4 separate regions of the Mus musculus genome follow, and regions 1, 2 and 4 are each reported to be linked to region 3. The links are microRNA targets in miRTarBase. Many come from high-throughput screens and were not tested one by one. Region 3 holds a microRNA gene; each other region holds the end of a gene's coding sequence.
Evidence for each region. Region 3 holds the annotated microRNA mmu-miR-5135 (AGGUCUAGGUGGCAAGGGCGUCCU, at 1,218-1,241, shown strand). A microRNA usually pairs through its seed, bases 2 to 8, with sites in the 3' UTR of a target mRNA and lowers its output. Matches are read on the target gene's strand: a 7mer-m8 pairs with bases 2 to 8, a 7mer-A1 pairs with bases 2 to 7 and ends in A, and an 8mer does both.

Region 1 (3,117 bases), not on the chromosome of region 3:
CGCCAGGGAGGCGCTGCTGTCTTCAGATCTCACCGAATAGACACCGCCCCTGTCCCTATCCCCACCCAGCAGGAGCCAACTCTGCCTAGAGCTTCCCATTGCCACCCTGACACTCATGCGTTTAGCTGGTTGAGTTCATTAAGCGCCCTCCTAGCGCTGGGGATTCCGGGGACAATGCATCTCTGCCCTCCTTGCTTCCTGCCCATGATAGGAGGTCACACCCAGTATGAGAGTGACAGCCTAAAACCGTCAGTGCAGTGGAGAATACCAGCACCCATATAATTCAGAAAGGAGGCACCTCTCTGCAGGATACGAGGTCCGGAGAAAAATAGCGACAACCCACACAAATAATCCAATTTACTCCCGGGGAGTGGTCAAAGTGAGACTCTGTCTTCTTCATGCTGTATCCCCAGCTCCTAGAACAAGACCTGGATCAACCAATCCTGTGGAACCCGAGTTAGGGAGATAAAGTGGAAGCTGGCACCAGGAAAGGGGACAAGTTTGAGAAGTGGAGTATAGGCAAAAGGCAGAGGTGACAAGGATTGGAGCCAGGGACAGTGACCATGTAAGGCCGACTAGACTTCATTCTGAGGCTCACAGAAGGATGACTTAACAGGGGTTGTGGCTCAGTTAATAGAGTTTTCATAGCATTCACAAAGCCCTGGGTCCAAGTCCCCCGTGCCACACAAACCAGTTATGTTGACTCAGGATTGTAGCTCCAGCACTCAGGAGGCAAGTGGATCAAAAGTTTAAAATCACTCTCAAGTAAAAAAAAAAAAACAAAAACAAAACAAAAAAAAAAAAACAAAACCAACCAACACCCCCCCCCCCAAAAAAAAACCCTCAGGATGCACATAACCCTGTTGATGTCTCAAGAGATGTCAGCCTCTGCCTGTGGCTTTGGGGCAGTATTTCTAAGCCAGGGAATATCCTTCTGGAAGGGGGGTGGGGCATACATAGACCAGCCAATCCACAATAACGTGGATAGTGATGACAGCCTGGGGCCACATTGTGTCAGTTCTGCCCCAGGAGGGCTATTAACTTTATCTGCCTGACCAAGACCTCATGAAGACTCTAGGCCCCAGAATGCAATGTACATTTCGTGACCATTAACGTGCTGTGTTGCCAGACGTCAGTGCAGTGGGTGCTTCCACAGGAAGAACACACAGATGTTTGGACTAGGAATTGACCTGGACCCTGGCACATCCCCTTCTCTAGTTGGCTGGGTTTTAAACGTATTTTTTGTTTTGTTTTGCTTTCTGTTATCTTTGAGAAAGACACACAGCTATATAGCTTAGGCTAGCCTTAAACTTACAATCCTCCTGCCTCAGCCTTTTTTCCCCCCCTTTCTGAGACAGGGTCCCATTATGGATCCTTGACTATCCTGAAACTCGCTCTGACAAGGCTTGTCTTGAACTCACAGACAACCACTGCTCCTGCCTCCCAAGAGCTGGGGTTAAAGGCATGTGCCATCGTGCCAGAATCTCTTGGCTAATTTTAATTATATTTTAATCTAATTACCTGTGCTACAGCATAACCACAAGCCTAAAAACTTTTAGTGAGCCTTCTATCAAAGGACCAGGCCTAGTCCAGCGTGGTGGTGCCTGCCTGTAATTCCCAGTGTGCAAGATGCAGACGCTGGAAAGCTGCTGCAGTTTGATGCTAGCTTGGTTGGCAATCCAGTAGATCTACAGAGTGAGTGGCTTCCAGGGCAGCCAAGGCTACAAACCCTGTGTTGAAAAACAACACAACTGGAGAGATGGCTCAGCGGTTAAGAGCATTGACTGCTCTTCCAGAGGTCCTGAGTTCAATTCCCAGCAACCACATGGTGGCTCACAACCACCTGTAATGGGATCTGATGTGCTCTTCTGCTGTGTGTGAAGACAGAGCCCTCATATAATATAAGTACCTGTTTAAAAAGAAAAAAACAACAGAAAAGAAAGGAAAGAAGAAAGAAAGGAAAGAAGAAAGGAGGTGGCTCTCAACCTTCCTAATGTTTCAACCCTTCAATACAGTTCCTCATGTGGTGACCCTCAACCATAAAACCATTTCATTACTACTCCATAACTATGACCTTGCTGTTGTGATGAATCATAATGTAAATATCTGATATGCAGGATCGGTGATGTGTGACGCCTGTGAAAGGGTTGTTCAACCCCCGAAGGGGTTGCAACCCACAAGTTGAGAGCTACTGGTTTATACAATGAGCTCCAAGCTATCACAAGATGCTGTCTCAATTTAAGAACAACAAAAACCTACTATTCCCCTTATGAGACAGCTCTCTTAGTTTCAACATCAAAAACAAAGTTCACCTGTTGGAGTGGTGCACGCCTTTAATGCCAGCACTTAGGGGGCAGAAGCAGGTGGATCTCTGTGAGTTCGAGGCCAGCCTGGTCTACAGAGTTCTAGGCTGGCCAGGGCTTTTACAGAGAGGAAACTCTATCCTGGGAAAATAAAAAGTTCTCAGCCTGATGTGGTTGAGCAAAATAAGAACCTTTATAGATGTCTCTGGGGAGATGAGAAAAACTAGGTTATAAATAAGCAATATGTACAATAAAGCCCTTTCAAAGAGTCTCCAGTCGGTAGGGGGAGGTAGAGATTGGACACCACAAAGTAAATAAAATCATTCAGGCTCCATCTCCAGGCGATGATAGAGAAGGGACAAGATAGAGAAGGGGCAGGATCAGGCCTGAAAAAAGAAATGAGAAAGAAGCGTTAGAAAAGATATTGAGGGTGGGAGGAGCTGGCTGCCACTGAGCCAAGTGTCCAAAGCCTGGAACGTGGGAACGTGGGTCGAGGATACCTCTCGTGCATAAATGGAAGGGGCTGGTATGACATAAATGGATCTAGAGTCTCCATCTTCAGGATGATTCCAGTCAGCCGACGAACTGTGGGAGGAGAGAAACGGGGGACAATTCAGACCCCACGAATTCTCATTTTTTTATTTCCCACACCCATCAAAGAGGGAAACCGCAGACTGGCAAGGGAGAATTCTGCAATGACCCCATCAGAAGAGGGCTAGGGCTAGAACACCTGGGTAAGAAAGTCCAATCCGATAGAACCAGACCAGTCAATTGGCCGCAGTGACAAGGTGTGTCGCCCTCACCTGGGGCCATC
Region 2 (3,117 bases), not on the chromosome of region 3:
CAGTGAATTCACATTAATAAATTCGTCTTCAATTTTTAAAAATATGTCTAAACCTTGTCTAATTATTAAAAAGAGAATTTTACTATTTATCAAATAGCTTTGTAAATTCTGATGTCAATTTTACTAATGCTTTAAGAACTGTCATCATGGTTTTTAAGGCAAGATACCAAGATAATTCTTCTCATTACTTCCAAGTCTTTCTGGGCATTTTCTTCTGTTATCTAAGTGGTTCATTTTGTCATTCTATAGTTTGCTGACAACTATGTGCAAAATATAGTAGCTGCACTAAAGAACTAAAATACCCTTAGCTCTATTTTCACAAAGTTTCTAAACTCTGAAGGAAGTAAAAGTGAAAATGTGAAATATCTTTCTCTACTTACTGTATTATGGCATTGTTTGCATATCAGGTCTGATTTTTTTATCACTGAAAGGAATGGAATGTATCCATTTTCCTTCTCAAGACCTAGCAGAACACCTTAATAAAAACTAGTGTAATTCACCACAATAAGCAATTGTGTTTTCCAGCAACAGGGGTCCCTAAAAAGGTTATCTCACACTGGGAAACATAAATAATACAAGGCAGAGAAGTTACCCTAATAGGCTTTGAATTATTCGACAAATGGAAGTTAATGATAAAGTTAAGAAAATATTTTCAACTGAAAAGGTATAAAAATAGTATTACATGGTAAATACTTTATAAGTGTCTGCTTATGAAAAGTATAGTTGAATAACACATGAAAAATATCATATGTGGAGACAGAAATTGTGAACCTGAAGAAGTGAAGGTATGGTGATACTGCACAAGTTGTGTGGGAAGATCTGCAATCTCAGTAAGCAGTTGTAACTGTCAACCTTCTACAGCAACAAAACAATGACAGTAACAACTACTCTTCAAGCAGGAGAAACAACTACTCTTGGTACCTCTGGGATGTCAATTGTGTACGTTTAAGGAATTGAATAATTCAACAATCTTGTCAATTATACAAACCCATTAAGGCAAGTTTACGGCCAGGTTGGGGATTAAAAAAAAAAAAAAGCCATCTAACAGGATGCCATGCTTTTATTTACCATCATGCATAAAAATGGCAACAAATATACAGTGCTGACAAAGTACTTTTATAACTATATCAAGACAATCAAGTCACATATTTACTTTTCCATGAAAACAATAATTTGACACATTTGATTAAGACCAATTATCCAAGCCGTTTCTAAGAATTTGGAGTAATATCGAAAACTGTTACGAATATTCAGTCTCAGTATTATAAAGACTACTGTTAGCCAGGCAGTGGTGGCGCACGCCTTTGATCCCAGCACTTGGGAGGCAAAGGCAGGCGGATTTCTGAGTTCAAGACCAGCCTGGTCTACAGAGTGAGTTGTCTTACAATATTCCAAATGGTTTCAAATAAATGCAAACAAAAGTGTTTAAATTTTTTCAGTAAGTTGAAACAAGTAGCATTTTACTAAATATTGGTAAAAGATGGGCAAAATATTATACTTTCACTTATATCAGATCACATATAAAGAGAGGAAAATAACTCAAACTTGCACTGCTTCTTTAAAGAAGCACTATCTAGGCAACATTCAACACTCAGAGAAAATATTTTTTCCTGAGAAATTAGTTCTCTTCCCATCACCACTGACTGACCAAGATGTGTAAGCTGTGTCCTGTCTTCATTCTCAGCCCAATTTTTATCTGACTTATTTTGATTCTAAGCCTTTTCAGCTCACTTTTTCTGCTTAGAGTACCCATCAAAACTTCTTTAGTTCTTCCATATATTAGGAAGGGCTCAGCTGTTTCCATCTAGCTGTCTCCCTGGAAGCTTTTTAGAGCTTGCTAACCAGGCTGGGGAGTGGGTAAGAGAGGAGACAAGGCAGAGTTGTTTCCTCTTTTACAGAGTATCTTCTCAGGAAATGCTAAGTATAAATGACTCCTGGCCTTACAGATGTTTCTGAACTACTTTTCTTTAAAATAGCAGGAGAAAGGTGGGAGAGTGAGGGTGAGGAGCACTGGCAAACACAATGGAGTGTGATATAACCTAGAAAGTGGTGCCAAAAAAAAAAAAAAAAAAAATCACACAGACAGTGGCCCACTCCTTCAATGTTTAGGCTCAGCAACTGTCCAAAAACTCTGTGTCCACGTTGCCACATGATGAACAGATAAATAGAAGGGCCCCCAGTTAAAGCAAGACATCTAGGTGGCAGTAAACAGGTAAGACTGAAAACAATAGGGTCCAAACAGTGTAAAGGCAGTGTAACATACAGTTTCATTGTTGAGCTTAGAAAGGGTATAAGCCAGGGCCGTGAACCAGCAGATACTAATTCAGAACAGCATGAAGGCCATGGGAAAGCAGAAGCATGTCCAGTCTTAATCTCGAGGTGGAGACTATCCAGATAGAAGATGCAGAAAAGTCAGGAGGAAAGAAATCAAAACACTGCATACCCGTTGCATTTGCTCAAGCACAGGTGAGAAGGGACCAGTTCCGGCCGCATTTTCAAATGCAAAGATTAACCTGACTGGAAGCCAAAAGGCCTGGGAATCTCCACTGGCTCCCTTATTGGGCGACGTCGGGGTCTACGGATTCCTTCACGACACAGGTAGTATTGCAGTGGGTTTGGCCACAGATCCTCTTTGATAATCTCAGCGATTCTGTCAGATTCTGGAAGGCTGTGGTCCGAGAACCAGGTGAAGAAGCTGCAAATGAGATCTTGGTTTCTGCGAATGAAGGACTGGGGCTCATGCCCTCTCCGCCAAATGATTGGAGTGGAAAGAGACACCACTCGACCAGATGATCTCACTTCATATTCCTTGACAATCAGCTTGTTTCTGAAGTAGGGGTTTCTTCGAAAAAAGAACTTGAATTTGCAGCCAGTCTTAGGGTGTCTCAGTTCCTTCACCTCCAGACTGGTTACGTACCTTAACATCTCTGCATCCCGACCCCTAATCATGGCGGACAACTGAGGGTGGTTCCGGAAGGCAGTCATCCAGAAGCCTGGGATATTCTGAATGATGTAGTTCCTCCGTTCCAGGTAGTGTCGTCGCATTCGCCCAAACTTCTGCTCCAGATGTTGGAAGGCCCTGTCGGCCTGAGCATTCACAGTGTCCAGTTCCAGCTG
Region 3 (3,117 bases):
GAAGCTTCCCAAATCAAAGGTCTGAGAGAAGGGTGTGAATAACCAAACCAGTTGAAGGGAGTGAAGGAGAGGCTGTTAGGGGCAGCATCAAGGGGCTCTAGATTTGCAGCTCCTGGACACTTGGCTTCTGACACCCACTCTAATCCTCCTGGACATGCAGCTGAGATTCCCAGAAGCACGGTGTGGCACCAACCCAGAACAGACTGAGTGCCTGCGCACTCCTGGGCTGGCGGGACCAGAGGCGAGTCCTTCTAGAAGAGCCCACAGTCTCAGGCAAGCACTAGCCCACGGGCGTCAGGGCACACAAGGAAGGGGTGGCGGGAATGTCGAGAGCTGCCCGGATTTCAAACTCTGCAAAGCCTATGCTGCTTTGGTTTCCGGGGTGGGGATAAAAAGTGACTCCCCTTACGACCTTCCCGCGACCCAACCTCCTCCGAGTGTGTCCGAGGCAGCTCGGGGCCAGGTCCTCATCCCACAGAGGGCTAGCCTGGGGTCTCCGCAGAGCGCTGCCACTCAGCCAATCGAGCATGGGCAAAGAGAGAAAGGCAAACCTAGGGACACTCACCAAGCGGTGGCCGCCCCGCCGGCTCGCGACGCGCCAGGCGCGCGGGGCTGCCCAGGTGGCGCCGCGAAGCGGGCTCGAGTTTGAAAGTCGCTCTCGGAAGCGGCAGAGGCCGCCGGCCGCTCCCGCCCACGGCTGGCCGCCCCGCGGTCCCAGCCTCTGCTCGCTGCGAGCACCAGACGCCGGGGGACCCCCGAAATGCGCACGGTTCCCCAGCACCGGGCAGGAAGTTGCGGCCGGAGTCCAGGCTGCGGCGGGAGGGAGGGAGGGAGAGAGAGAGGGAGAGGGAGGGAGCCAGGGAGGGGCGGACCAGGAATGTTTCCAGTGGGTGGAGACTGCGCTCGCGGCTGCGATCCAGCAATTGGCGGCTCTGGGGGGCCCGGGGGAACCTTCGCGGCGGTGCGAGCGAGCTGTGGCTCCCGCTGTAGACAGCGGCCGCCGTGGCTAATGATTAACGCGCGTGGCCCGCCGTGTGGGTCCCGCTGGCCGCCTCCCCTTGCCACCTGGAACTCTGGGATCCCAAGGCGCACGTGGTGGGGTTACTCTAGTGCCACCGCCCTGATATCACGCCGAGAGGGCAACGAAAGCCTCCAGACCAGGTTCCGACCAGAGAGGACTCGGAGCCCAGCCACCTAGACTTTCCCAGGAGAAGCGCAGGTCTAGGTGGCAAGGGCGTCCTGGTCCTACTGGAGCAGGTCACCACGACCGCTGAGTCAGAAAGGCACGTCTCGAATTCCTCGCCGAAACTAGGTTTCGGTGGCTCTTTACAGTTGTAAAATCTTACCTTCTGAGGAGAAAGAGATAAGAAGCGCATAACTTGGGGCGGGGCGGGGCGCGGCGCTCAGTGGGACTGTTAATGAGAAAAACTGATCGAGGAACCTGAATGTCAGTGGACCCCATTTTGAGTGCGATCTATCAACAAAAGGCATGTACCGGGAAATTAGGGGATGGGAAAATTGGGGGATGATTAGCACAAGCACATAGAATACAAACCAGTTAGATTTTGAGCAAGAACATAAATCTTTTGTGTGGTTTTTGTTTTTGAAGCAGGATTTCAATTATCTGAGACTGGCAGAGGGTAATCTTGAGAGTAATGGTTCTCCACCCTCTATCTCCGGAGTGCTGGGATTACTGGTGTGCACCACCACGCCCTAATTATTGTTTTTATTTTATTTTTTGATTTGAAACAGGCCCACACTTTGTAGCCCAAGCTAGCCCAGAACTCTTGAGTGATCCCCCAGAGTGCTAGAATTATAGGTGTGCGCTACTACACCTCACTAAGAATAAATCTTTCATTGGTAAAGATCTTAGGGGAGGTAGCATTAGATGCTGTCCCCAGTACGCACCATGAAGAGGGGTAGGAGATGGGAGCCCAGTGTGAGATCACAGAAGAAGTAGGACTCCTGCGTTAAACGATGGCACCAGGTTCTTGGAACAGGAATGGAGAATCGACCCCAGTAACTCAGCATTTAGACCGCCAAGTGTAGACAAGTGAAAATCCTAAATAGCTTATAAAATCCCCTCCTCCACCACTGCCCTCAAAAAAAAAAAAAAAAAAAGCTGCCCCAGGGAAAAGCAAGCACCTAGTGATTTACGGGGAGGGGCGGGGCAGAGAGAGAGGAAATGGCTTTCAGGTGACTTTGAAACGGGATCCCTGGGAAGAGTAAAGATTAAAGTAGTCCTTGCTCCTGACTGCGGGAGGGCCAGAAAGTAAGGCTCACGTTACTTAGTCCACAGGTTAGGCTTGAAGAGCGGCAGACTAGAGGACAGCACTGGTGAGAAACAAGATTACCCGGGAACGGGGGAGAGAGATAAAACTACGGGGTGGGATGGGAAAGGGAGAAGCCCCACTCCTTCCCACCTCGAACTTTCTGGGTTTCTGGTTTCTTCTCTAATCTGTTAAATCTTACCAGTCCTTTCCTACTAATCTTAAACTCCCAACTTCCAAAGACGTCCCCCAGCCCCAATCCAGAGATTTAAAACTTTTGAATGTATGACTGGCTCCTTAGCTAGAAAAGAAAAATAAAATGTTGATGATAGTAATGGTTAGGGAATGGTGCTACCAAGTGCACTGCACTTTATAATCACTAAGGCAGGAATACACTTACTCCCATTTTGCAGGAAGAATACTGAGGCTCTAAGGATGGAGCAGTCTGGCCAAGATCAATTGCATCAAGGGGCGTAGTCTGAGGGGGCGACACTGGAGTGCTTACTGTGTTAACCTTTGAGCATTTTACAAGAACAATTGCGGTTACAGGAGAAACTGAGGCTTGGTCATACTGCTAGTGGGTGGTAGAGCTGGGAGTTTCTACCCACAGGGAAAACTGCATTTAGCCAGCCAGCTCTTTCTCCACTTCCTTCTAGACACTTGTTAGTCCATTCTGAACTTGATTCTAAAGCCTCGAGTTGTTTCTAATTGCTTTAATTTATATGCCCATTTCCTGAAAAGATTGTAATCTTACTATGCAGAACTTGTAAGAAGCATTCAATAAGGCCATGCTGGAGCCAGATGAAACAAGCAAGATTTTATAAAAAATCAGTTTCCTACCTCCAAG
Region 4 (3,117 bases), not on the chromosome of region 3:
ACTTACGAGTGTAATATATGCGGAAAGTCCTTCTCGGATTCGTCATGCTACACTGTGCACTACAGAGGTCATTCCGAAGAGAAGCCCTTCGGGTGCAGTGAATGTGGGAAGACCTTCTCTCATAACTCATCCCTCTTCAGACATCAAAGGGTCCACACCGGCGAGAAGCCGTACGAGTGTTACGAATGTGGGAAGTTCTTCTCTCAGAAGTCGTATCTCACTATCCATCACCGGATCCATTCGGGAGAGAAGCCCTACGAGTGCAGCAAGTGTGGGAAAGTGTTCTCGCGGATGTCGAACCTCACCGTACACTACCGAAGCCATTCAGGAGAGAAGCCGTATGAGTGCAACGAGTGTGGGAAAGTCTTTTCTCAGAAGTCGTACCTCACCGTGCATTACCGGACTCATTCAGGAGAGAAACCTTATGAATGTAACGAATGTGGGAAAAAATTCCACCACAGATCAGCCTTCAATAGCCATCAGAGAATTCATAAAAGAGGCACTGTAAATGTACTCACTGTAGAAAAGCTCTGACATGCCAAGGTTTTTAAATTTTTTTTTGGTTTTGGTTTTGGTTTTTTTGAAACAGGGTTTCTCTGTGTAGCCCTGGCTGTCCTGGAACTCATTCTGTAGACCAGGCTGGCCTCGAACTCAGAAATCCGCCTGCCTCTGCCTCCCGAGTGCTGGGATTAAAGGTGTGTGCACCACCACTGCCCAGTGACATCTCAGTTCTTAAGAAAAGCATTTGGTTATAGTGAACATTGGAAGTCCAACAGGTAGTCAAGGGTGGACCCCCCTCAACCCCCCCCCCCAATTTTCAATATATGTGGTGCTGGGATTCTGGGCCTTTTGCATGCTATAGACATTCTGCAAGATTCACGAGCTGAGCATCCACGCTCTTGAGTGTGGAGTCCTAAAACAAAGTCCATTTTAACTTGAGCTTTCAGAGAGGAATCTGTGAAGCAACCCATGACCGTATGACTTATGGGACACTAGGTCATCTTTACAGGAGTGAACCTTTGAAAGTATTTAATATTTATTTTTATTTAAATCGTATTTACATATCAGGGAGTTCTGCTGTGAGCTGTCAGCTCCTGAGTATAACTCGCCTTGGAAACGCACACTAAAAGCCATATTTCTGACCGACGTTACCACGGGTGTTCATGGAAAAGATGCAAGAAGCTATGAGTTCCGAATAAACTTATAAAATGAAGTCATGAAGCCAGCAGTTGAGCATGAGGGTGACTGAAACACGGCACTTCTGCTGTTCTAGACACGCAATTGAACAGTCTCTATGCAATGTTTCGCAATCTCGGCTTTGAATCATTTGTGAGAACATGTCAGCAAGGATTAAAATGACTGTTACAGTGGGTACATGGGTGGGATGTGCTAGCTGATAGGGAAGTACATAGCTTTCTATGTCGGTGCTTACCCGTAGAGTGGTTTTTGTAAAAATATTTTCAACTGGAATTGAGCAAAAAAATTTTTTAAATACTATTTTGATAAACCATGCTGTTTATGTGTTGTGTTGCTGTGAAGAGGCGCTATGGCCATGGGAATTCTTGGAAGGGAAAACATTTCATTGGGGCTGCTCTGAACTCCAGCCCCGAGGTTTAGTGCACTGTGATGGTGGGGAGCATCATGGCGGCATGTAGGCAGACACGATGCTGGAGAGGTAGCTGAGTGCCACATCATGATCCACAGGCAGCAGGGAGAGAGAGACTGGGCCTGACTTGAGTATTTGAAAACCCAAATCTACCCCCTAGTCACACACTTCCTCTAGCAAGGCAACACCTATTCCAGCAAGGTCATACCTGGTGCCACTTCCTAATGACCCAAGATCCAAATCTATGAGCCTATGGTGGCCATTCCTACCCAAACCACATATGCATACGTAACTCGGGGTTGCTTGTGTCCATTTCACTAGAAGAGTGTATTACTATAAATATGTTGTCGTTTCTGTTTCTTGCCTCCTATTTCCAGGGCTTTAGAACACAGTATTCATCTACCAGACATTTTCTGGTTGATACTTTTTGGCATAATCCCTTGCTAAAAGAGTTTGGCTACCTACCGTTTCTCCATGTGAGAATCCCGAGCAAGGAGTTTAAATCGATACTCATGATCCTCTTCTGATTGCCAGTCCAGTCGCCTCTCATTGCCCACAATAGATGCGTCCCAAGACCCCCTGGTCAATACCTGAAGCGAAATAGTCCCAAACCATGAGTACTATGGTTCTGCAGCACTTTAAGGTTGTCGCTGAGACGGCTGCTTAGCGGTGGACAAGTCGTGAATGCAGTGTGGAATTCCTGACACTCCGGTGAGATTTCATCAGCAATGATGTCGACTTACACCTCAGGAGTTGAGGGCTGAGGATAGGTTCCGTAGGAAGGCCCTTGCCTAGATGGCATGAGGCTGCGTTTAATTTCCAATACTCCTCTCCCCAGGTATTGTTAATCTGTGTCCACTTAGTTTGTTTGCACTGTGATTAGCAGCCCATCCCACAGATAACTAAGACTACAGAAAGTCAGGTTTGAGGTTAGGAGACTCTACCATAACTTGGTTATAGAGGTTATGGGGCCTGACCCCAGATGAACCAGATGCAGATGCTTGTTGCATAAATAGTGGTCAACCAGACCCAACCCACTCCAGGAATAGAGAGAGCTGAATATCTTAACAGTCACAGGAAGAAAACTCATGTGAAAAACTTAGCGAAGTATGGAGAAGAACCCCCTTGGTTAGACAAAAAGTCTAACTAGGCTACTCTGGGCGCCACGCAGAACGGTGTAATATTGACACTTACTAAAACATGGCCTACCACTAGTGCTCTTCCGTGACGCTGGACAGGGAGCCCTGGCCAGTCCAGGGGATATTCAGATTAGAGTTAGAAATAATGAGGAAGCTGAACAAGGGCCTTGCATTACAAGGTCATTTTATAACACTGGAGGTTTCAAGAGAAAAAAAAAAGCATAAATTATTTTGAGAGCAATGCCCATTTAAAATACTCCTCAAGTGTCTAAGGAAAAATACATTTTCAAGAATTATGTCTAGGAAAAAACAAAATGTGGCCACACAGTAGGGCCTCTTGTGGTTTTCAAGAGATGCTCTGAGGGATACCAG

Region 1: the mRNA of Dll3 is a reported target of mmu-miR-5135. Seed matches in the 3' UTR shown: 7mer-A1 at 2,392-2,398.
Region 2: miRTarBase lists Tspyl1 as a target of mmu-miR-5135. Seed matches in the 3' UTR shown: 7mer-A1 at 1,361-1,367.
Region 4: the mRNA of Rbak is a reported target of mmu-miR-5135. Seed matches in the 3' UTR shown: 7mer-A1 at 631-637.

Annotation. Positions count from the first base shown.
Region 1 is chr7:28,291,238-28,294,354 of GRCm38, forward strand. It overlaps Dll3 (delta like canonical Notch ligand 3), which reads right to left. Exons shown (of 9, transcript NM_007866.2): 7 at 3,107-3,117; 8 at 2,804-2,888; 9 at 2,318-2,689. The coding sequence ends at 2,684. Among named protein-coding and RNA genes, the nearest start is that of Selenov, 1.6 kb to the left of the region's middle.
Region 2 is chr10:34,282,812-34,285,928 of GRCm38, reverse strand. It overlaps Tspyl1 (testis-specific protein, Y-encoded-like 1), which reads right to left. Exons shown (of 1, transcript NM_009433.3): 1 at 1,044-3,117. The coding sequence ends at 2,509. All of the region lies in intron 1 of Gm26564 (a long non-coding RNA gene), which reads left to right. Among named protein-coding and RNA genes, the nearest start is that of Tspyl1, 2.2 kb to the right of the region's middle.
Region 3 is chr12:76,531,267-76,534,383 of GRCm38, reverse strand. It overlaps Mir5135 (microRNA 5135), which reads left to right and starts at 1,172; the gene lies at 1,172-1,250. Plekhg3 (pleckstrin homology domain containing, family G (with RhoGef domain) member 3) reads right to left here and starts at 824. Exons shown (of 19, transcript NM_153804.4): 1 at 566-824.
Region 4 is chr5:143,170,578-143,173,694 of GRCm38, reverse strand. It overlaps Rbak (RB-associated KRAB zinc finger), which reads left to right. Exons shown (of 5, transcript NM_001045482.2): 5 at 1-1,509. The coding sequence ends at 534. Among named protein-coding and RNA genes, the nearest start is that of Rbakdn, 6.4 kb to the right of the region's middle.